Linked DNA regions of Callithrix jacchus. The protein of the gene in region 3 purifies or fractionates together with the protein of the main gene of each other region. This does not show direct contact. Links are inferred from orthologs where the notes say so. Each region holds a gene or a part of one and is shown on either strand. Other genes may lie near its edges.

Region 1 (7,434 bases), on a different chromosome or scaffold from region 3:
ATAGATGACGAATTTTATTGGAATACAGCTTTAAAGTACAGACTATGATGAAAGAGAAGTTATGTAAAGAACATCTAATTTAAAAATATATATACATAAATATGTTTAACAGTTACTTCTTCTATCATTAACAGAGGCCTATACTCAGGGAAATTCTGTTTTTTACTCCCCCCTCTCATGCATATATGGATACACGCATAAACATATATGCATATCATACATGTGTAGATGGGTGTAGAAAATTTCACAAATACAGCTTGATTAGCTTTCACAAAATGAAAACAGCCCAGTAATCAGCACCCTGTGTATGTGTTTATATTGCCTTATTAATGCATGAATATTTTCAGTGGCTTTCTGGTTATAGTTATTCATCTCTTTCTGTACCCAGTAATAGCAAAACTGTTTTTGATTTTCATTCCTGAATCACCTTTGCACTCAGAGGTTATCATTGTGTACTACTTAGTGATGAACATAACCGGCATGTTATTCTTTTGTTAAGATGTTCCAATTTCTCTCTCTCTTTTTTACCGTCTGTATTTAGGCTATTCACTTGTTTTTCATTTTCTTAGTTATTATCACTCAAATTGTTTTGCTTTTCTGTTTTATTAATTTGCGTAGCTTCTTGAATTCTCCCTCATTTCCCCTGAGACTTTGGTGCTAAACTCAAAATAGCAGTTTGAACGCTGGCACCAATTAGTATTCTAAGTAATTTTTTCTCACCAATAACTCTGTACTATATTCCTATGTACCTAGGTTATTATAATTTCTTTTGCATCAAAATCTCACTATAATCCTCTTTTTCTTTGTTATAGATGGCATGTATGCTGATCTTATTTTTTTCAGGTTACTTTTCCTTACAGTTTTCATTTCTTTGACTTGATATTTGCGTATCTGTTGTGTTTATTCAACTTTCAGCCTGCCTTGTGGTGGGACAGTTTGATTTTATACTTACATCATATGACTCTGGTTTACAAATTAATTTTCCTTGTCGTCAAAAGAAAACTACATTTTAGGTGAACTTGTTTTTTCTTTTTTAGTATAAATAATCTGGCATACTGTTATTTAAAATTTCTTGCACTAGATATCCAAACTACAAGCAATTGAAATATTTCTGTGCCAGCATTACGTATTAGAGAGGAAACTATGACTGGGCTTCATAATGTATTAGATTGAGTGGCTGGAACTTAGCCGTTCTCCTTACCTGTGTAACATTACTTGAATCATTAAATTGTTGGATTTTTTTCGGATAGTTTCCTCATTTGTACACGAGAAAAGCCAGATACCTTACCTCTCTGGGTTGTTGTAGGGATCATCTGCGAGTATGTGAATAGTGCCTTGAGTATATAAAGTATGGTACAGATGTCAAGTTGTAATTTAGGCGTACTGAAACAGTCTGAGTGTTGCTTTCATTAGGAATTTAATTATAGAGATGAATATGTGAAGAGTTTTTATTTCATGATATTTGGGGTTTAATCTGAAAATTCAGAATTTATGTCATAACAAAAAGCGACCAGATGTGGGCTCTTTAACAGAAGTGCTTCTCATCTGGGCCCCCCTGCTACTACTAAACCACCTTACCTCAATCATTATGTCACTTTAATAGTTTTCTTTGGAACATCCATTTATTATGTTTCTTCTGCTGTTAATTTTCTATCGTTATATATCTTTGAATGTGATTTGATCAGATTGCCCATTTCCTCTGACTTTGTCTATTCCCAAAGATTAATGAATTTAGTTTTCTACCTGTCAGCTGCCTTTTAGTTAATCTCAAAGCTTAGAGGAATCACAGGTCATTTAATTATGACTTGTTATTTTCTCTGATTTAAAGGACATACCATGGATTTTTTTTTTCTGTGTATGTGCTGTATTAAGTAGAAGACAGAAAGGTGGAAGAAACAACCTGAAATGTAATTAAAAACTCTTAACTAAATAGAAAAGAGTTAATTCTCAGATTTCTGAATATTAGTCTAAATAGTCAATTTAGTGTTAGAGATATATTTGAGTAGTATGCTCTATTTTTTGTTGGTCATAATTTTCTTTATGTCTTCTGTTTACCAGTGCTGTAATGCTGCATATCAACCTTTGGTCAATTTACCTTCGTTTTTTTCAATCCCTGTTAAGAATGCTCTTTTAAAAAGTCCTATCTCTGTACTTTGGTTTGGATTTCTCTCATTTATGGGAAGCTCTTATGCTTTGAAGTTGTCATTTCTTTTCATTATATGCTTAACTCCTTTGACCTGCTTAACATTTGATACCTTTTGCTTTTCTCACTGTGCCTGTACATTATGTTTTACACTAACATTTTCTCCCCATTTTACTTTGCCCATTCTACAGAAGTTTTAAAGTTTTTTTTATTAGATAGCATGCATGGTACAGGCCAAAAGGCACATAAGGCTTTCCACTGATAAGTGTTTTTTTCATCCTTGTTCCCTAGTTATCATGACCTTTCCCTGCAGCCAACAAGTATTTAGTTTCCTATAACTCCTTCTAGAGATAATCTGTGCAATTAGTAAGTTAATGCATGTATTCCTTGTAATACTTTTAGAAAATGTGGGGCCGGGTGCGGTGGCTCACACCTGTAATCCCAGCACTTTGGGAGGCCGAGGCGGGTGGATCACGAGGTCAAGAGATTGAGACCATCCTGGTCAACATGGTGAAACCCCGTCTCTACTAAAAATACAAAAAATTAGCTGGGCATGGTGGTGTGTGCCTGTAATCCCAGCTATTCGGGAGGCTGAGGCAGGAGAATTGCCTGAACCCAGGTGGCAGAGGTTGCGGTGAGCTGAGATCGTACCATTGCACTCCAGCCTGGGTATCAAGAGCAAAACTCCGTCTCAAAAAAAAAAAAAAAAAGAAAGAAAATATGGTATAATGTCATATTAATGTACACTGTTTGCATTTTGTTTTCGTTTATATCTTTGCAGATCATTCCATATCAACATTTGTAACACTGTCTCATTCTTTTTATGGTGTCATGTCCACTCTATCTTGAACTGAAATTTCAGACACCCTGAATATTCTTCTAGGTTGAGGTGTTTCTTCTGGAAATTCTTTTAAAATTAATATAGTACTCAACTGATAGGTTATGTGTAAATAATGATCTCAGAATCTTTTTTTACATGTTCAGAAAGAGTTACTGTTATAAGTAAAAAAGCTTTACATTCTCAAAAGATAATGAAAATTATTTTTATCTTTGTAGTTTGAATCAGCTTGGGTACTGACAAATATTGCTTCAGGAAATTCTCTACAGACCCGGATTGTGATTCAGGCAGGAGCTGTGCCCATCTTCATAGAGTTGCTCAGCTCAGAGTTTGAAGATGTCCAGGAACAGGTAAAAATGAAACAGAAAGAAGCAGGTGAAAGAATAACATTTTTCCCTTCAATCATATTCAGGGATTGAGTTTTACCAGTTGGCTTTGATAATCTATGGATTGTCACAAAGGAGTGTTCTAGAAATCTAGTCTTAACCAAATAGAAAATTTCTTAGTGAGTGTAGGCAGAATTTTTCTTAGACACATAAAATAATCTTCCCCTTCCAAACCTGACATTCTTTAAGCCCTGAGTATGTACTTTCTAAACCTTGTAAGCAGTTACTAGTAGAGGTTTTTGCTTGTAGAAATTTCCAGTGTTGAAAGTAGGCCAGGCACTGTGGCTCACACCTGTAATTCCACCACTTGGGAGGCTGAGGTGGGCAGATTGCTTGAGCCCAGGAACTCAACCACTCAGGGCAAAATGATGAAACCTCATTTCCACCGAAAAAAAAAATTAGGTGGGCATGGTGTTGCACACCTGTGGTCCTAGTTACTTGGGAGACTGAGGTGGGAGGTTCACTTGAATGAGCTCCAGGAGGCAGAGAGGCTGCAGTGAGCTGAGATCACAGCACCACACTCCAGCCTCGGTAACAGAAGGAGACCTAGCTCAAAAGAAAGTAGTAAGTTTTTATCACTTTTGTGCAGAAAATAGTTTGTTTCACTGTTTTATTTTGTAAGCCAGAAAAATACCTTTTTTTTTTAATGGAGTCTCTGTCACCCAGGCTGGAGTGCAGTGGCACGATCTTGGCTCACTGCAACCTCTGTCTCTCAGGTTTAAGCAATTCTTGTGCCTCAGCCTCTTCAGTAGCTGGGATTACAGGCATCTGCCACCACACCCGGCTAATTTTGTATTTTTAGTAAAGATGGGGTTTCACCGTGTTTTACTCGATACTGGGTGACAGAGCGAGACTCCGTCACCAAAAAAAAAAAAAAAAGAAAAGAAATTGGTTCTTTCCTTTAATAAACTGAATACCTTTAGTTTATTATACACTTTAGAATATTATTTATCTTCTTCCTCCAACCACACAACTGTTTCATTTGACTCCCTGATGAATGTGTTACTGTGATATACTGGCATCTGAAAGAATTAGAAGGGAGTACATAACTTTTATTAATGATTCTTTCACAGGCAGTCTGGGCTCTTGGCAACATTGCTGGAGATAGTACCATGTGCAGGGACTATGTCTTAGACTGCAATATCCTTCCCCCTCTTTTGCAGTAAGTTTCTTCTTCTTCCTTTTTGACAATAAAAACATAAGAGATTCCTCAGAAAGCAGTGCATCTCTGGAAATCATTTTGGATTTTCTGTTGTTATTTTTCATTCCAGACATTTTCTTGTTTAGATCATTTCCTCAGAAAAAAGGAAAAAACGAGGGGAAAAAAAGATCATTCCCTTAAGCACTCTATCTTTCTCTCATGTCAAAATTCTGAATTACTTGTATCAGAATTAATGAAGTTTTAATGTTCTGGGGAAAAGCTATCTGAAGACATCTCTTTATCAAAAGTACTATTACTTAGTATTTATATTATGTTTTCAGAGAATCAATGTCTATTATATAGTTTACCATTGTACCATCATGCTTATAGGTTATTTTCAAAGCAAAACCGCCTGACCATGACCCGGAATGCAGTATGGGCTTTGTCTAACCTCTGTAGAGGGAAAAGTCCACCTCCAGAATTTGCAAAGGTAAGGACTGTGCTTTTGGGACATTGGCAGAAAAAATGCAATTATAAGAGTATAGCAACCAATAGTAAGGTGAACAGAAAGATAATTTTTGTTAAAACTTAAAATGTTAGAATTTTATCTGTTTTTGGAGAAACAGGGTTTTTGTTTTTTTTTTTGGTTCCCTTTATTATTTGAAAAGCAAATTTAAAGCATAGCTTGAAGATGCACATTTATGTAGGGGCTGCAAATAAATAAAAGCATAGCATAAAGGGAGAATTTGTAAAGCTCATTGAAATGAGACTTCATACAATTAGTATACTGTATTAAGAGACTCTTCAGTTCTCCTAAAACAGTGGTTCTCAAAGTATAGTCTGGGAGTCCATGAGATTTTTTTTTTTTTTTTTTTTTTGCAGTAGGTTTTAGGGGAACAGATCAGGTGTTTGGGTACATGAGTAAGTTGTTTAGTGGTGATTTTTGAGATTTTGGTGCACCCATCACCCAAGCAGTGTACAGAGTACCCACTGTCTAGTCTTGTATTTCTCACCTACCTCTCATCCTTTACCCCAGAATCCCCAAAGTTTATTGTATCAATCTCATGCTTTTGTGCCCTCATAGCTTACATCCCACTTATGAATGAGAACATCTGATGTTTGGTTTTCCATTCCTGAGTTACTTTACTTAGAATAATGGTCTCCAGTTCCATCCAGGTTGCTGCAAATGCCGTTGTTTTGTTTCTGTTTATGGCTGAGCAGTATTCTATGGTATATATATCACAGTTTCTTTATCTACTTGTTGATTGATGGGCATTTGGGCTGTTTCCATAATTTTGCAATTGTGAATTGTGCTGCTGTAAATATGCGTGTGCAAGTATCTGTGCACGTTTGTAGCAGTGGAATTGCTGGATCAAATGGCAGATCTACTTTCAGTTCTTTAAGGAATCTCTGTACTATTTTCCATAGTGGTTATACTAATTTACATTCCCCTTTTCACCACATCCATGCCAACATTTATCGTGTTTTTGTTTTTTTGAGACAGGGTTTCGCTCTTGTTGCCCAGGCTGGAGTGCAGTTGTGCAGCACACTGCAACCTCCACCTCCCAGGATCAGGCGATTCTCCTGCCTCAGCCTCCTGAGTAGCTGGGATGATGGGCACACACCACCATGCCCGGCTGATTTTTGTATTTTTAGTAGAGATGGGGTTTCACCATGCTGGCCAGGCTGGTCTTGAACTCCTGACCTCAGGTGATCCACCCACCTCAGCCTCCCAAAGTGCTGGGATTACAGGCATGAGCCACCACATCCCGCCTGTTTTGATTTTTTGATTATAGCAATTCTTGCAGGAGTAAGATGGTATAACATTGTGGTTTCAATTTGCATTTCCCTGATAATTAGTGATGAGCGATGAGCATTTTTAAATGGTTTTTGGCTATTTGTATATCTTCTTTAGAGAATCGTCTGTGTCCTTAGCCCACTTTTTGATGGGATTGTTTTTTTCTTGCTGATTTGAGTTTCTTGTATATTTTGCATATTAGAAGAAACAGGATTTTTTTTTGGTAGTTGTTTTTAATTTGGAATCATTTTTCACTGAATTCATCTTAAAACCCTAGCATTTTTGGTCTAAAGTATCTAAAATACAGAATTTCTTAGCTTTCACATTTTTGAAAGTTTCTTTACCTCTTTAGTCCACAAAGAATGTGTTTTGACAAGGAATCTCACTCCAAGAATTGATGTATATAAAACTTTATGATCTGAAATTAATTTCCTTGGGCTCTGACTACAAATTAGTGCAAGACCACTGACAGCATTGTTAAAGATGGAACTGCCACTTAGGTACTTGTTGTTTCTTGAGAAGTGTAAATCACTCAAGAAGTCACCAAATTTATGCCTGGCTGCCTTCTTGAGTATCTCACCTCACTTCTGGCTTCTAGTCTGTTGGATTTCATAATCATCATTTTCCTTTTATAGGTTTCCCCATGTCTGAATGTGCTTTCCTGGTTGCTGTTTGTCAGTGACACTGATGTACTGGCTGATGCCTGCTGGGCCCTCTCATATCTATCAGATGGACCCAATGATAAAATTCAAGCAGTCATTGATGCGGGAGTATGTAGGAGACTTGTGGAGCTGCTGATGTAAGATATGTTTTAGAAAGTGTGTTCACTTTTTTTCCCTTGGTACTAGTTTTCTAGCTACTAATACTTAAATATTAATTGATTGTATATTATATTGGTTTATTGTGCTTTGGGCTACTATTTTTTGTTACTTGTTTATGTTGATGGCAGATCTGTTTGTCTTGTTTTATTGAGGCTTATAGAGAACCTCTTACTCCTCTGCTGTTAGCAGGCCTTTAGCAGAAATATTTGGAAAACTCTGATCTGTGTAGTTACAGTCTCATACTGGATGACCCGAGATCAACCACTGGACATCAGAAGATACACTGCCAATAAAATAGTCATTCCTT
Region 2 (7,915 bases), on a different chromosome or scaffold from region 3:
AAGATCTGAAGAACTTCATTATAAACCCTTACACTGATACTGGTGAAATAGCAAAAACATTTATGAAAGCTCCAGTGACTTCACGTCACTAAGATTTTAAAATAAACAGAAGTCACTCACTTAAGTTTCAAAGGTTATAACGACCCAAAGCACACAAGAGGAAAGTGTCCAAGTAACTAGCTAAAGCCAAGTTCAAATTAGGCTATTTCAGGACCTACACAAAACTAGTCAATACATAGGCCCATGTATTATTATTATTTTCATTGTTCTGGCTCTCTTACCATGTAGACCAACTTCTAATGCTTAAAGAAATACCATTACTACTACTAAACAAAAAATAGAATTATTACTCTGTAAAAGAAATACTCTCTAAATCAAAAAAAAATTTCTCCTGGCCAGGCACAGTGGCTCACACCTGTAACCCCAGCACTTTGGGAAGCCAAGGCAGGTGGATCACGAGGTTAGGAGTTCCAGACCAGCCTGGCCAACATGGTGAAACCCTGTCTCTACTAAAAATACCAAAATTAGCCAGGCATGGTGGCACCCATCTGTAATCTCAATGGGAGACTGAAGCAGGAGAATTGCTTGAACCGGGGAGGTGAAGGCTGCAGTGAGCCAAGGTTGTGCCAGCCACTGCACTCCAGCCAGGTGACAGCAAGATTCCACATCAAAAAAAAAAAAAAAAGATTTTTCTAGGCAAGGGTAACAGGAAGTTATGCCTTTCTGCCAATGTACAAAACACTAGAAAGCACCAATAAGATCGTTCAGTTTTTATAAATGTCTCATTTACCCAATGTTACATATACTGAAGTGTTCATGTCAATTCCTTTGCCAGTGATTTTAACTTAATTCTAAAAAAAGTTATCATATGATAAAATTAACGTGTTTCTATGAATAGTTTTGATTTTTATGTATGGTATCATCACCACCATCAGAATACAGAACAGTACTATCACTCCAAAAAGCTCTCTCTGCTGTCCCTTTATGCATATATCCTTCCCCTCCTCTACTCTCACCACCACTGAATTGGTCCCCATCACTATAGTTTTATACCTTTTGAACCTGGTTTCTTTCACTCAGCATAAAACCTTAATTAAAGATTGATGCGAGTAGTTACCTACACCAGCAGTTCCTTCCTTATTATTGCTAAGTAGTATTCCATAGTATGGCTATACCATAGTTTAACCATTCACTTATTAAAGAATACTTTGATAGTTTCTAGGTTTTGGCTATTATGAATTAAGTTGCTATAGACATTGAGACCCAATTTTTGCATGAACAAAAGTCTTCAAAATACCCCGGATCGTATGATAAATGTGTTTAACTTAACTGACAGTTTTCTGGAGTGGCAATGCCATTTTGCATTCCCACAAGCAATGTGTAAGGATCCAGTTGCTCAGCATTCTTGCTAGCACTTGGTTTTGCTTTTTTTTTTCTTTTAGCCATTCTAAGAGGCCCACAGTGATACCTCATCATGGTTTTAAATGTTTTAACCATTTCATGGGCATCTTTTATTAAACAGTACAGTTTCAAGACCTTAAACAGATAATGCTGAATATAAATTTTTCTGACTCAAAATCATCCTTACAGAACAAACACTGTACTACCCTCAGGGACTAGTGAAGTACATAGAGTTGTGTTCCTTTTCCTAAAATAGCCCCAGAATTATTTCTGCTTTTTATAGCTTTTTAAATCTTCTCTCTTGTCACTTCTTGCTATTAACGGTGCTCCTGCCTCTGGAACACTCTTCACTCTCTTCTCAAGTTGAGTTTAGAAAATAGATAACTAAGCTTGTTAGAATTACATCTAAAAAGAGGACAGCCCGTGAGTGAGAGAGCGTAAAGGATTCTTCAGTGGGGAAAGCAAAGGCCCCCAAACCCCCCGCCCCCGCCAACCCCACATCATTGTACCCAAACTTCCTGACATCTTGTTTGGTTACTGAGAAATTTCTAGTAGCTAAATCTCTTAGGCACTTTTCAAAAAGGTAAGGTGACCAGCTAAGAAACCACCAGGTAATTGAGTCATTACAATATTCATTTTGTGCAATGCACACTATAACATGATGTTAGATCAATAAATAAAAGCTTAGCAAAAGCAAAATATAGACAAAGTTATCCAGTGTCCAGAAACCTAAGTGGAAAAGATGATCTTAAATGTAGCTTAAATCTAGTTTCCAAACAGTTACACATTGGTCAGAATTCTGAGCACCTACTAGGTGTGTAAGGCATTCAAAGGGGTGCAGAGATAAAGAAATCATAGAATTAAAACAGTTCTTTCACGATACAGTGACCATATGCATACATACTAATTCTAATCCTAAGTAATAGTCAACAGTGTTCCCTTGAAAGTTACTTGACTAGTTAAGTAGATAGATGTGCGGTTATCAAAGGCAAGTAAGTACAGCTCATCCTGTCTTTTAAGCAGTCTTTTCCATTTCTGAGCAAGACTAAACTATGAACACTTTTACGCTCTATTCGGGAGGTGGATCACTTCCGACAAATGGCAGCACCTTACTTCCCTGAGCGCCCCAGATTTAAGAGGCAGGCACTTCCTCTCACACGAACTTCCCTGTGGACTGGCAGCTGTGTGTCTGCCAGGCGCAGGGGCCAATCGGGACTCTGCCGGCCGCCTCCACCCACGGCTTAAACACCATCTCACCAATTGCAACCAGATCTTGGGTGGGACTTCCGCTATCATTTTAGGCTTAACTACCACCATCTCGTCGCGGGGCAGTGGGGGCAACCGCGAAGACGGAATTTCACAAATTTTCAGCTCCAGCAGTTTCAAGGAAATGTCAAAGAATAACAAGATGGAAGATAGAATGGCAAGAGCTAAGGCAGCAAAAAGCCTCCCCAAATTTTGTTTTCAAGAAAATCAATGAAAAAAGCAAGCAATCACAACGTGAAGTCCAGGATCATGTATGTACTTATCTTCACAGTCACTGCTGGGTCCTGAAGTTCTCCTTTGGCCCAGTGCCAGCTGCGGAGCCCTCTGCCAAAGGGCCAGAGGAGGCCGGTGATGTAGAGCTCTGGTTACCCACCCGTCAGGGCGCCGCTGAAGGTCACTGAATACTTACTGTGCACCCGAAAAATAAATCCTGCGAGTTCACGCCCGCGTGGCTCGGCCCCTGACTTTGAGCGACTCCTTTCGCATGGGATCTACAAAACTGAACTGCCTTAAAGACCTCTTTCACACGGACTTGAAGTCACAGAACTGACAAAATCCCATCCTGTCAAAGTGCACGGTTCTTTGAAATCTTAACACAAAAAGCCATAGAAAGATCTCTAAACACCTCGTTCTAAGAGGAATACGGGCAGGGCACTAGCCCTTAGACACGTCTCGCTGTCACCGGGCTAACAACATTGGCAAGGGCGGCGGCGGCAGCACTGATACTTGCAGCCCCCAAGGGCCCCGGCGAAACCCCCTCTATTACTCTGTATCCTGCCTGCTTCCAAGATGAACCTGTTGCTGGGAAAGAACAGGCTAAATTAGAAAAGGGAGTATTTTGTCAAAGTTAAAGGTGAGTGATAGCCTGCCCGCCTCAAAAAGGACGGGAAAAACTACGGATATTGGGGAAGATGACACTGCTGCCTCCGAATTCTGGTCCCGGGCGGCTCTCTTCCAGCCCTCAAGTGTCCCCACGCTGCCGTGGACCCCGAACAGGGACAGCTGGAGGCGGGCTTGGGCAGCGCGCGGCCTGCACCCGCGGCCATCCATCTTGCGGCGCGGCCCGGCCCGGCCCGGCTATCCAGAGCCAGGGCTGGGGGAGCTCGCCGCCCCCCGCGCCGCCACGGCCGGGCGACATTCTGCGCCCTGGGAAAGGGGATAAGGGTGCGGCGCGGCCCCCGGTCCCCGGCCCGCCCGGATCCCCAGCCTCACCTTGACGTGGAAGCGGATGAGCGCCAGGCGGATGCAGTGGGCCATGCAGACGGGCGGCAGGAACCAGACCTTGGGCGGCGGGGTGCCCTTGTTCTGGACATGGCTGACGATCTGCTGCGCCGTTTGGCGCTCGTTGCCCTGCCGCTTGACCCACTCGTGCAGCCGGGCCTTCTCGAGCGCGCCGTTGAAGAAGACGAAGAGCTCGATGTTGCCGCCGAAGCAGGCCTTGGCCAGCGCCGCCAGGTAGCCGAGCATGTGGTTCCACTGGCCGCCGCTGACCCAGTCGGTGTAGAAGCCGCCGTAGAGGCGGTGCAGGCAGTTGTCGGCGTCCACCAGCAGGCGCAGCGGGGTCTGCGGGGGCCGCTGCCGCCCGCCGCCCACCAGGCTGCCCCGGGCCAGCTTCTGCAGCTCCACCGGCACCACAGCGCTCGGGCAGTGCTTCTCGATGTAGTCCTGGAAGCCCTGCACGCCCATGGCGGCGGCGGGGGCGCGGGCGCGGGTGCGGGCGGGGGGCGGCGGGGCCGGGGGCGGTGGGGCCGTGGCGCGCGGGCGGGCGGGCGGGCGGGGGCGGCGGCCTCTAGGGGGGACTGGGGCGGGTCGGGGGCGCGCTCATGGCCGCCGCGGCCGCCATGTGCTGCCGCCTCCCAGGGCCATGTCTGGGGAGGGATCTGCCGCCGCCGCCGCTGCCGCCGCTGCGAGGCCGAGGCCGAGGCCGAGGCTGAGGGCCGGGGCGGGGCGGGCGGGCGGCGCTGACGTAGCGGACCCGCCCGGCGCGGACGCCGCCCAGACCCGCGCAGGCCCGCCGGCAAGCAGGCGGAAGAGGCGGCGCCGGCGGGACGCGGCTCCGGGCTCCCGGAGGCGGTGGCGGCAGAGGCGGAGGTCCGGAGCCGGGCAGGGGCGGGATCGAGGAGGCGCCTGGGCCGCAGCAGGCCGCGCCTGGAGGCTACAGGCCGCCCGCCCGCCGGCCTCAGGCCAGTCTGCCGCCGCTCCCCTCCCTGCGCTCTGTCGCCGGCAGGGCCAGAGAGGCCGCCGCCCCCGCCCGGTGTTACTCGGGCAAAGGGAAGCCGCGAAGCAGGTCCCAGGGAAGAGCTCGTCTTCTCCTGAGGGAAGCGGCGACAAGATGGCGCTTTGAGGGGGAGCCGGAGGCCGAGTCACTCTGCTGGTCGGGACGCCGCCTTTCTAACGCCACCTTCGGCTCGCACCACTCCGGGCCTCCTGCCGACAAGGACTGCGGGGTCCGGGGGAGCGGGATGCTGGACGGCCACGCCTGTCTTCTTGGAAAGAGCAGGAAGGAGCGCGGGAGCGCGATTCTGCCGCAGGTGCTCATCCCAGCAGCTTCGGGCTCTCGATTGTTGTGATTTTTACACCTGTGACAAATGACATGGCCAAACACACCATAATGTCTGAAGGTACAGGTAGTCCGAAGTGCCTCCACGTCACGGAAGAGACTGTCTTGAGATCACAGGTCTGTTGAAGCGTGGGAAAGCCTGCGTTCGGTTTAGTTCCCACTGCGGAATGGCCCGACTGAAACGTGCGTCTTTGCAGTGGCTCGCGCTGCTCCTCTTAAGGAGAGGGATTTGAATCTTGTTGATTTAGTAGCAGCTTCTGGAAGGAGGTCGATTACGTGAATTCTGTTCCAACGTTCTGTCGTAATTGCTTCTAAAACGAGGTTGATACTGTATGTATATTAGACTTGCATAAAACATTTTCAAAAAGAGATTGTCTTTCAGAATATAAATTTAGAACCCAGCACTCTAAAAGTTTTAAAATACCGCTTTTACTTATCTTCACCTCTCCATCTGTTCTTTTTCTGGAGAAGCCTCTGTAGAAGAGCAGGATGCAGCCCACAGGCTGTGGCCCTGAGACCCGCTGCCCAGCACATGGATCCTGCACGCACACGATTTGGCCAAAGAAGCCCCCATATTCCCGGTGAAAAAGGCAAGTTGGGTTTTTCTGCTTTCTTTTCTGATATCCACCTCAAACGCAAGCCAGTGTCATATACACATAAATGCTGCTGATATTTTAAGAAGTTACATTTAAAAGCAGACTGACAAGTTATGCCACTCACCTATACACAAAATTAATCACAAAGCCGGCATGACATGTTATCTAGAATTAATACAGGCTGGGCACGGTGGCTCACGCCTGTAATCCCAGCACTTTGGGAGGCCAAGGTTGGTGGATCATTTGAGACCAGCCTGGCCAACATGGTGAAACCCCATCTCTACTAAAAACATAAAAATTAGCTGGGCGTGGTAGTGTGCGTTTATAATCCCAGCTACTCGGGAGGCTAAAGCAGAATTGTTTGAACCCAGGAGGTGGTTACAGTGAGCCTAGATGTCGCCACTGCACTCTAGCATGGGCAACAGAGTGAGATTACGTCTCAAAAATAAAAGAAATAATACAGTTAGCCATTAAAAAGCAAGACAAAAATCCAGAAATATCCAAATTTCCTTCTGTAACCCAAGGCAGGTTCACAAAGTGAGGGGCAGTAGTTGTAATTACTCGTATTTTCTTTTCTTTTTTTTTTTTTTTTTTTTTTTGAGATGGAGTCTCGCTCTGACACCAGGCTGGAGTGCAGTGGCGAAATCTCGGCTCACTGCAACCTCCGCCTGCCGGTTCAAGTGATTCTTCGCCTCTCCGGAGTAGCTGGGACTGCAGGAGCGCACCACCACGCCCGGCTGATTTTTGTATTTTTTAGTAGAGACAGGGTTTCACCATGTTGGTCAGGATGATCTCGATCTTTTGACCTGGTGATCCGCCCTCCTTGAACTCCCAAAGTGCTGGGATTACAGGCATGAGCCACTGCGCTTGGCCATCACTCATATTTTCATTTATAACATTGCATTCCATGCGTTTACCTTTTCTTTAAACACTCTTGCTTATAATTTTAAAAAAATGCATTAGTGCCAGTATCTGGAATTCTGGAAATAAATTTGTTTTCACCTTATTACATTATAGAGTTCTAAAGTTCTGGAGTCAAGCCCCCAAAATCCATCTTATGATGAATCTGTGCCCTTGCAAAAATGTTTACCCTATTTGAACCTTGGATTTTATCATCTGTAAAATCAACATATTAATAGTACTTAACATCCCAGGTTATTATAAGTATTAAATCAGGTCATCTGTGTGCTTACCACACAGCAAATGCTCAATAAATGTTGGCTTATATAGTTAGTTCCAGAAACTGTATTTGTACAGACTTAACACTTGAGAACCTAGACCAGTTATTGTACTTTTGAAAAGTTTAAAATTCATTATTGTATCATAACACATAAAACTCAATTATCTTTACTTGCCCTATTTAGCTGTGTGTTCTTTAAAAATATATCTATTTATTGAGTAACTATTGATGGCAGGCAAAATGTTTGACAAACATTTATATACTCTGCATCCGTAACTCAAATTAAGGGGTTGGTTGAAGTTAAATTGCTTAAATATTGAGGTAAAAATAAACATCTGTATTTAAAATTTAATAAAAAGTTACATCTTCTTGGGGGTCACAATATGACAACTGATGGTTGGGGACTTTCTTTTTCTTTTTTCTTTTGCATTTATTTTATTTTTCTCTTCAAGAGAAGTCTTGCTCTGTTGCCCAGGCTGGAGTGCAGTGGTGCGATCTCAGCTCACTGCAAGCTCCCTCTCCCAGGTTCAAGTGATTCTCCTGCCTCAGCCTCCAGAGTAGCTGGGATTGCAGGTGCACACCACCATATCTGGCTGAGTTTTGTGTTTTTAGTAGAGACTGGGTTTCACCATATTGGGCAGGCTGGTCTCAAACTCCTGACCTCAAGTAATCCGCCTGCCTTGATCTCCCAAAATGCTGGGATTACATGCATGAGCCACCGTGCCCAGCCTAATATCTTTAATTAATATGTTACTTAGTTGAGGTATCTAACTACCAGCAATAACAGGTGAGTTTCCAGTTTTTCCAACAAGGTAATAAGAGACCTTAATCCTGCCCATGTAATCATTAGCATATGTTGGGAGACCAGCAGGCTGGAGATAAGCAGGGAGTCTTATGGAAGACAGCAAATTA
Region 3 (7,434 bases):
GCACTAAGCAAGACATGTTTACTCCTGGCTTTGTGCCTCTGCTAGCACTGCTGTCATCTTCTGTCCTGCCTACTCAACACCAGACATAAGTCCTACCCTCTCCGCATGTGTTCCCATGCTCATCCAGCACATTTGTTTTTCACCATTGATAGACTCTACCATATACTTACAAACATTTTTTCATTTGGCAAATTCTTATTGAGTCTACTACAAATGGCAGTTACTTTTATAGAGAGCTTAATAAATCTTTATTGAGGGCCTAATATTGTACTAGATACTTGGAGTGACAGACAAAAAAGACATACTTCTTGCTTTCAAAGAGCCTTCAAAAAAAAGTTCTTCCATTATTCCTTATTTGTTTTTTTGCCTATTAGATCTTGGCTACTCAATATAGCTATAAATTCCTTAAATGCTAAGGCTGCCATATACTTCATCTGTATCCCTCCACTTAGCATACTGATGAGTATACCACAGGTACTCAATTAGTACTAGCTAAATGAGAATTTAGAAGGATCTAAGAGAAAATTTTGGTATGTACCTTAGGGATATCTAAGAATTCTACTGATTAACAGTAATTCTTTCCAGTACACATAGATTTTTATAATGTCCTAACATCCTGTAATTTAATTATTCCACATCTAATTTCTAAAGGTCAATATACTTAACTAGAAGTATACCAAGAAAGAATGTTCTCCATGACTTCTTTAAAATTCTTATGCTTTATATATACAGCAACATCAGAAGATCAAATTCATGTCACACTAGCTTGAAATTAACCCTAGCTATATTAATTACTTATGTTAGCACGTCTTATAAATCTTATTTTTAACCTATATGTTTATTAGTTATACTGTATACTCTTTGGGGTGTAGATCAAATATAAACAAATATAAAGATATTTTAAAAACCCTGAAAAGGTAAGTCAATTTTTAATACTTAAAATTCTAAAATACATGAAAAAAACCCCAAATCCTCTGCAAATAATAACCAAAGTATACATTTCACTAACTTAAAGTAGTTGCTCTTATTTCAAGGTAGTGCCTCAATGAATGTTTAATCATAGCCCCAAGGTATTTTTCATCCTTGGACTGCATGTATTCAAATACCTACTACTAAAATTACATTACCAGATCTGGTTATTAGCAAAAACCAGTATTAAATTCAGTTATTTAGAATAATCAGAATTTTTTACAGAAGTTTTTAAGAATGTTAAACAAACACATCCTTACTTCGATCACAGTTTTCTATTGCTTGGGCAGCTTGTGATGGTTTTAAGTATCGTACGTAGCCCAAACCTTTACTTTCTCCAGTGACTTTATTCTTAATAATGCTGCAATACTCGATATCTCCATACACCTAAGAGAGTTAAAAGACATTATCTTAGGGGACTTGAAATTAATTGAACAGAGTACTACTGAACCAAAAATTTGTATGTGACCCTTGCATGCAAAGAAGTAAGCAGTATAAAATATCTGCATATTTTATACTGCTTATTTCAGAGATGAGGAAGCTGGGGTTTAGAGAAATCAGAGGGACAAAGCCACAGAAAAAAAAGTAAGAATCTGTACATGGTCCAGATACCTCCAAAATCTTGCTCAAAAGTGGTTAAGAGCCAGAGCTCTGGAATTAAACTTTCTAGATTGAAATTCTGGATCACCCTCTTATTAATTAGGCAGTTTATTTATTCTCTCTGTACCTACCTCTTTATCTATTAAAAGAAACAAACAGTAGTATCCACCTCACAGGGTTGTTTAAGGGTTAACTGAAGTAAAATATGTGAAGTGCTTACATGGGGCTTAAAACATACTAAACACTCAAAGAACATTAGCTATAACTACTTGTCTGTCTTCTAACAGGAGCATAAATGATTGTGTATTCTTTAGAAGGACAGCTTTTCAAAGGATATCTTTAAAATACACTGGTTCACTCAGAAAGTTACTATTCTGAGAAACATGCAGTAGTGTTTACTTTTAATGTAAATGAATATGAAATATAAACCATTAATATTTATTTTACAAATTCTTAAGTAATTAATTAGCAACTTAATTACTATACATTAAAGTGTCATACTTGTTCATTCAGGAAACGATAAACATTTATAAATATTTAAGGTAAAAAACATTTTTCTTATTACTGGAGAAAGCATGAATACACATTTTTGGTATTTGTTATTTTTGAAGTATTTTTCTGAATTCTCAATTGGGATAGCAGAGGAAGTTCAAAAATTACTTTTTACTGCTTATTTTCTTTCTTGCTTTTTGCCACCCAATTCATGGAAGGACTAGTAGAAAAAAGATGAAAAACTACAACTCAAAACAATTTAAAAATTGCTTTTTAATAATTCTTGTGAAAGCTTATCATTGCATAAGTTAATGGCTAAAAAGACTTAAAATGATCTTTGAATTTCATTTATATAGGTCAGAGCTGTACTTAGTTTTCTTCTTTATATGTAACTCCTTCTAAGGACCAATTTTAGGATGAAAATTCTTCAAAGAACAAGACTTTCTGTGAATGAGTAGTACCATATCAACACACCATAGGCCTGTTACAAATACTAGACAACACAGTTCACACACTCAGGCCTGCCTGATTCACCTCCACATGCCAGGCAATAGAGGGGAGTGATAAGAGAGTGCTTTGAAATTTTAAAGACCAAGAACAGGCTCCAGACTCCGAGAGTCTGGGTTTAAAATCACAGCTCTACCACCTACTAGCTGTGACTTTACTTAAAAGTCTTTGAGCTTTGTACTTCATTTCTGTGACTCTCTACTGTCACAATAAAGCAGGGGAAGACTACAATTACTACTTTTCAGATTTTATATAATCTGTAATTTTAAAAACTAATTTATGCTAGGTTTAATATTTAAAGAGTAGATTGAAAATTATGAAAAGTTACGTAATTCCCCATGACTACTCTACTGACCTTATTCAAACAACACTTCAGATTTAGTACCAACACAACCTATGTAGGACTGTGAGTTATCACATATGCTAACTGGTTAGAAAACATAAGTACCTTAAATTTTTCCCGCAGATCTTCTTCTGTGTAGGACTTTGGTATCATAACAAAGATTCTTGTAAGTTCTTCGTCTTCAACATCTCGGTGACTTCCAGATGATCGGGACTGAGCAATGAAAACCTAAGAAACAAACAAAACCCCAAAAATAATGTTATTTTCCCACTTCTTAAATTTTTTCAAAAGCAATTTTTATTGCAATGAGTTTTGTGTTTTTTTGTTTTGAGATGGGGTCTTGCTCTGCCACCTAGGCTGGAGTGTAGTGGTGTGATCATGGCTCACTGCAGTCTCAATGATCTAGGCTCAAGTAATCCTCCCACCTCAGACTCCCAAGTAGCTAGGGCCACAGGCACACCCCACCATGCCCAGCTAATTTTTTATTATTTGTAGAGATGAGGTCTTGCTATGTTGCCCAGGATGGTCATGAACTGCTGGGCTCAAGTGATCCTCCCACTCTGACCTTCCAAAGTGCTGGGATTATAGGTGTGAGCCACTGCGCTGGGACTGCAATGACTTTTTTATATGAGATAATACCAATCTCTGCATTGTGTTTTTCCCAAACATATTTCTACTTTTGCATTTTTTTTAGCTAGAGCAATTTGAAAAAATGAAATACAATTAATTAAAACACCATAAAGAAGGGCCCTTCCGTTGTTTGTTTCTTTTTCCTTTAAAGGGGGCTCTATATCTTGCTGTCTGATCTACTGCTGGTAAAGGGGGTTCTGTATCATTCAAGCATGAGAAAACTGGAACCTACGAAATTCCAGAGTAGGTGGCAGCAACTAAGAAAACCATAACTTTAGAGACATATCCCTACATAGTCTACTTCTAGTTATTCCTTCAATAAATCTAAACTATGTCAAGCACTGTATGAGTACAGTATTCAGTAACCAAGAAATGGCCTACTAGAAAGTCTTGCAGCTGATACCAGTAATAAATGGTAAATAGGGAAATACAAATAGGGAAACTTTAAGTATATGCAAAGACACTAGAGAAAAAAAAAGAACCTCAGGTAAGATGAGACTGGAAGTGCCATCAGAGCACAAATTTTTAAATTTCAGAGGACTGAGATGTTTCAAATCTCTGATACAGGAGTCAGTCTATATGTAGAACATATGTAAAATAATTAACCTCCTCATGGTAGATTTCTCCCGTTAATTTTTACTTTCATAGACTATGGGTGTTCATACGCTCTAGATAAGAATCATTCTTGAAAAACTAAAGCCAAGAACTTTTTCTTCTATTTTCTAGGTTTCCCCCTTTCTACCAGATAACATAGCTAGTCACAGAATAACTTTTACTTGGACAATATTTTCTGACTGAGGACTTATAGGGTCCTGTGAGTCCCTCTCTACAGATGTGGGGACGAGAAACAGTGAAAATAAAGACACAAGACACAGAGATAGAGAAAAGAGAGTTTGGGCCCAGCCATCCACTGCCAACCAAAGTACAGAGTCTGGCAGTGGCCCCGAGTGCCTGGACACTCTGACTTTTATTGAGTACAAAGCAGGGGGCAGGATAGGTAGGGTGAGGTAATGGTGGTCAGTGATAGGGTCAGGTAAATCACATGTCCTGGAAACGGGCTCAGGATTTTCAAGAAGCCGAGGCAAGGAGAAAACCTAACTTTTTTCATATTTGTCAAGAATATCAGGGATGTTAACATTTATGTTACTATTACTAATTCTTATCTTAAAGAGAGGAACCAAGTGCAGAAGCGGAACATGAAAGTAGACATGGAACGTGACCACTGAAGCACAGCATCACATAGAGACAATTAAGCCCCTGGATGACCGGGGGCCTCCCTGATAGCTGCCAGGGCTACCACAAGGGCTTGGAAGAGCGGAGTTTTCTCCTAACTCCCCCGAGGAAGGAGATGTCTCAGCCATTTTGGACATCTCCTTCCCTAGCTGGTTAAACAGTGGGCACTTTCACAGCGCTGGCGCTGCTGCATAGCCGAGGCGCCCTCCAGCAGCCCTTATGCGGGCGTGAAGGAGGGCTTAGAGCATCTTGCCTCAGGGTCACTTCTTTCCCAATGCCACTTCAGTTCCATACTTCATGACCTGAGACTTACTAATAAAATTAAAGATTATATGATTGTATAAATGTATATATTTATGATTACATGTGAATAGTTATGTGATTATTATAGGAATAACTATGTAACTATCGCTAATTCTTTTTTAATTCAATATTTATATGAGAACAGACTGAGGTCTCAGACTCTCGCCTTGGCTCTTGTGGGGTTTCTCCCCAACAAGGCCTGGTATGATAATATTCTTGTCTTATAGATCCTTTGTAACTTTGCAAAGCAAAGTACATGAGAATATTGAAGCTGAATTAATTTAACTGGAACTGCTGAAAACAACACAACCGTGTTCCAGTGGAAGATGGTTCAAGCTGCAGCAACTGAATGAAACTAGGCTGTCAGGGTGTGGTGGGTCACAACTGAAACGGGAGGCTGAAAATGGGAGGATCACTTGAGTCCAGGAGCTTGAGACCTGCCTAGGCAACAAAGTGAGACCCTGTCTCTACAAAAAATTAAAAAATTGCCCAGGCACTGTGGCTCACGCCTGTAATCCCAGCACTTTGGGAGGCCAAGGCAGGTGGATCACCTCAGGTCAGGAGTTCGAGACCAGCCTGATGACCAACACAGTGAAACCCTGTCTCTATGAAAAATACAAAAATTAGCTAGTCATGGTGGTGGGCACCTGTAATCCCAGCTACTCCTGAGGCTGGAGAATTGCTTGAACCTGGGAGGTGGAAGCTGCAATGAGCTGAGATCACGCCACTGCACTCCAGCCTGGGCAACAAGAGCGAAACTCCATCTAAAACAAACAAACAAAAATTAGCTGGGCATGGTGGTGCATGTCTGCAGTCCCAGCTACTCAGGAGGGTGGCTGAGGTAAGAGGACTGCCTGAGCCTGGAAGGTGGAGGCTGTAGTGAACTGTGATCAAGCCACTGCACTCTAGCGAAACAAACTCTGGCTAAAACGGAATAGTCAAAAGCGTGAAAAACAAAATTGTAAAGTTTAATTCTTTTTGGGGACAAGAACTTTAATTTCTCTGTGGTGAAAAGAAAGGGTACATTTCAGTGTTGGGCCTTTAATTTCTCTTGTAGATATTCATCAGGGGAAGGTGGTCCATCTGTTTCAAATATGGCACTTTTTTGGTCAGTGGCCATGTTATACTAAAAATATAAAAACCCTCTCCACTAAAGTCATAATTGGACAGCAATGAAATTCATCAGTCTAGTACAGGGGTCATCAAACTACAACTCCATTTTTGGTATAGCCCACAATGAAAGAACTGTTTTTACAGTTTTTAAGAACTATAAAAACAGAGAAGAATATGTGACAGAGACTGTATGTGGCCCACAAAGCCTAAAATGTTTACTAGCCAGCCCTTTACAGAAAAAGTTTGCCAACTCCTGATCCTGTATGCTAGAGCCCTACAATTAATTTTGTTGCTGTACTATTCTGACACACTTCGTAGAAGTGTGGAGAAGTGGGAGGGATTGTTTACTGTGTTGTTGGTATATTCCCAGGCTCCTCTTTTGTGGATGGAGCAAGACCTCCAGAGACTGAAATATCTCTGAGTCCTTTTTTTTATATATAAGTCCATATTAATACCATTCTCAATTTGGAAAACATTTTTTTTTAATTGAGAAAATATTTTTTTGTGCAAAGTACCAGCAGAATAACATACACAGCAACTACTTACATGGGGCAGATGAAGGGTACAATTTAAGCAATTGGCAGATTCTCAGGATTGAGTCCTGATTTGAGGTCACAGAGAGTAAGCAGTGACATCTTGGCTACTACCGATCAATAACAAGGGCTTACTGTGTGCGAGGCAGTGTGCTAAAAGCATAGATTAACTCAACCCTCAAAATGACCCTTCCTGCCATGTGTCATTATGTCAACGATTTGGCACTTCTTAAGGCAGTTTCCTTTGGTCTGCTTTCAAAGAAAAGTTGGAGTAACAGAAAGAGTCAAGAACCAAATACATACTATTGACACTTTGAGAAACAGAGCTCATTTAAAATAATTTTCAAAATCACAAAATGTGATGAATATGTAAAGTGGCCATTTTATACACCTGCACTTAAGTATTATATACATGCATTCTTTCATCTGGTACTGGGAAAACGTCCAACACCAGAGGCCTCTAGTTTAAAGTACTTTCGTCAAGTTGTCACGCCTCATCTCTACTTGAGGAAAAGTAGAGTTTTTCTGTTTTTCATATATGGAAATTCTGGGCATCTGAGAAAGGAAGGTGAGAAAAGTCCTCGAAGTAGGCTAGGACGAGTTTCGCAGTGAACTCAAGAGCTGGTGGATGAGTAAGGGCAAGGGAGCGGGGAGGCCCAGCCACTGCTGCTCTGCCACCGGTGGCCGCGGCTGCCGGGTCCGTTCTCGGGG

Evidence for each region.
Region 1: the proteins of RBM45 (region 3) and KPNA1 purify together in Homo sapiens (co-immunoprecipitation; 3 studies listed by BioGRID and IntAct, with this or other methods). This does not show direct contact. The link is inferred for Callithrix jacchus from reciprocal best matches to the Homo sapiens genes RBM45 and KPNA1.
Region 2: the proteins of RBM45 (region 3) and FAM120A purify together in Homo sapiens (co-immunoprecipitation; 3 studies listed by BioGRID and IntAct, with this or other methods). This does not show direct contact. The link is inferred for Callithrix jacchus from reciprocal best matches to the Homo sapiens genes RBM45 and FAM120A.

Annotation. Positions count from the first base shown.
Region 1 is NC_133516.1:80,573,568-80,581,001, forward strand, and holds part of KPNA1 (importin subunit alpha-5), read left to right. Parts: intron 1-3,199; coding exon 3,200-3,331; intron 3,332-4,440; coding exon 4,441-4,529; intron 4,530-4,898; coding exon 4,899-4,998; intron 4,999-6,941; coding exon 6,942-7,105; intron 7,106-7,434. UniProt on the Homo sapiens protein: Functions in nuclear protein import as an adapter protein for nuclear receptor KPNB1. Binds specifically and directly to substrates containing either a simple or bipartite NLS motif.
Region 2 is NC_133502.1:71,098,859-71,106,773, reverse strand, and holds the start of FAM120A (constitutive coactivator of PPAR-gamma-like protein 1), read right to left. Parts: upstream 4,607-7,915; 5' UTR 4,354-4,606; coding exon 3,880-4,353; intron 1-3,879. UniProt on the Homo sapiens protein: Component of the oxidative stress-induced survival signaling. May regulate the activation of SRC family protein kinases. May act as a scaffolding protein enabling SRC family protein kinases to phosphorylate and activate PI3-kinase.
Region 3 is NC_133507.1:51,304,375-51,311,808, forward strand, and holds part of RBM45 (RNA-binding protein 45), read right to left. Parts: intron 3,140-7,434; coding exon 3,017-3,139; intron 1,357-3,016; coding exon 1,230-1,356; intron 1-1,229. UniProt on the Homo sapiens protein: RNA-binding protein with binding specificity for poly(C). May play an important role in neural development.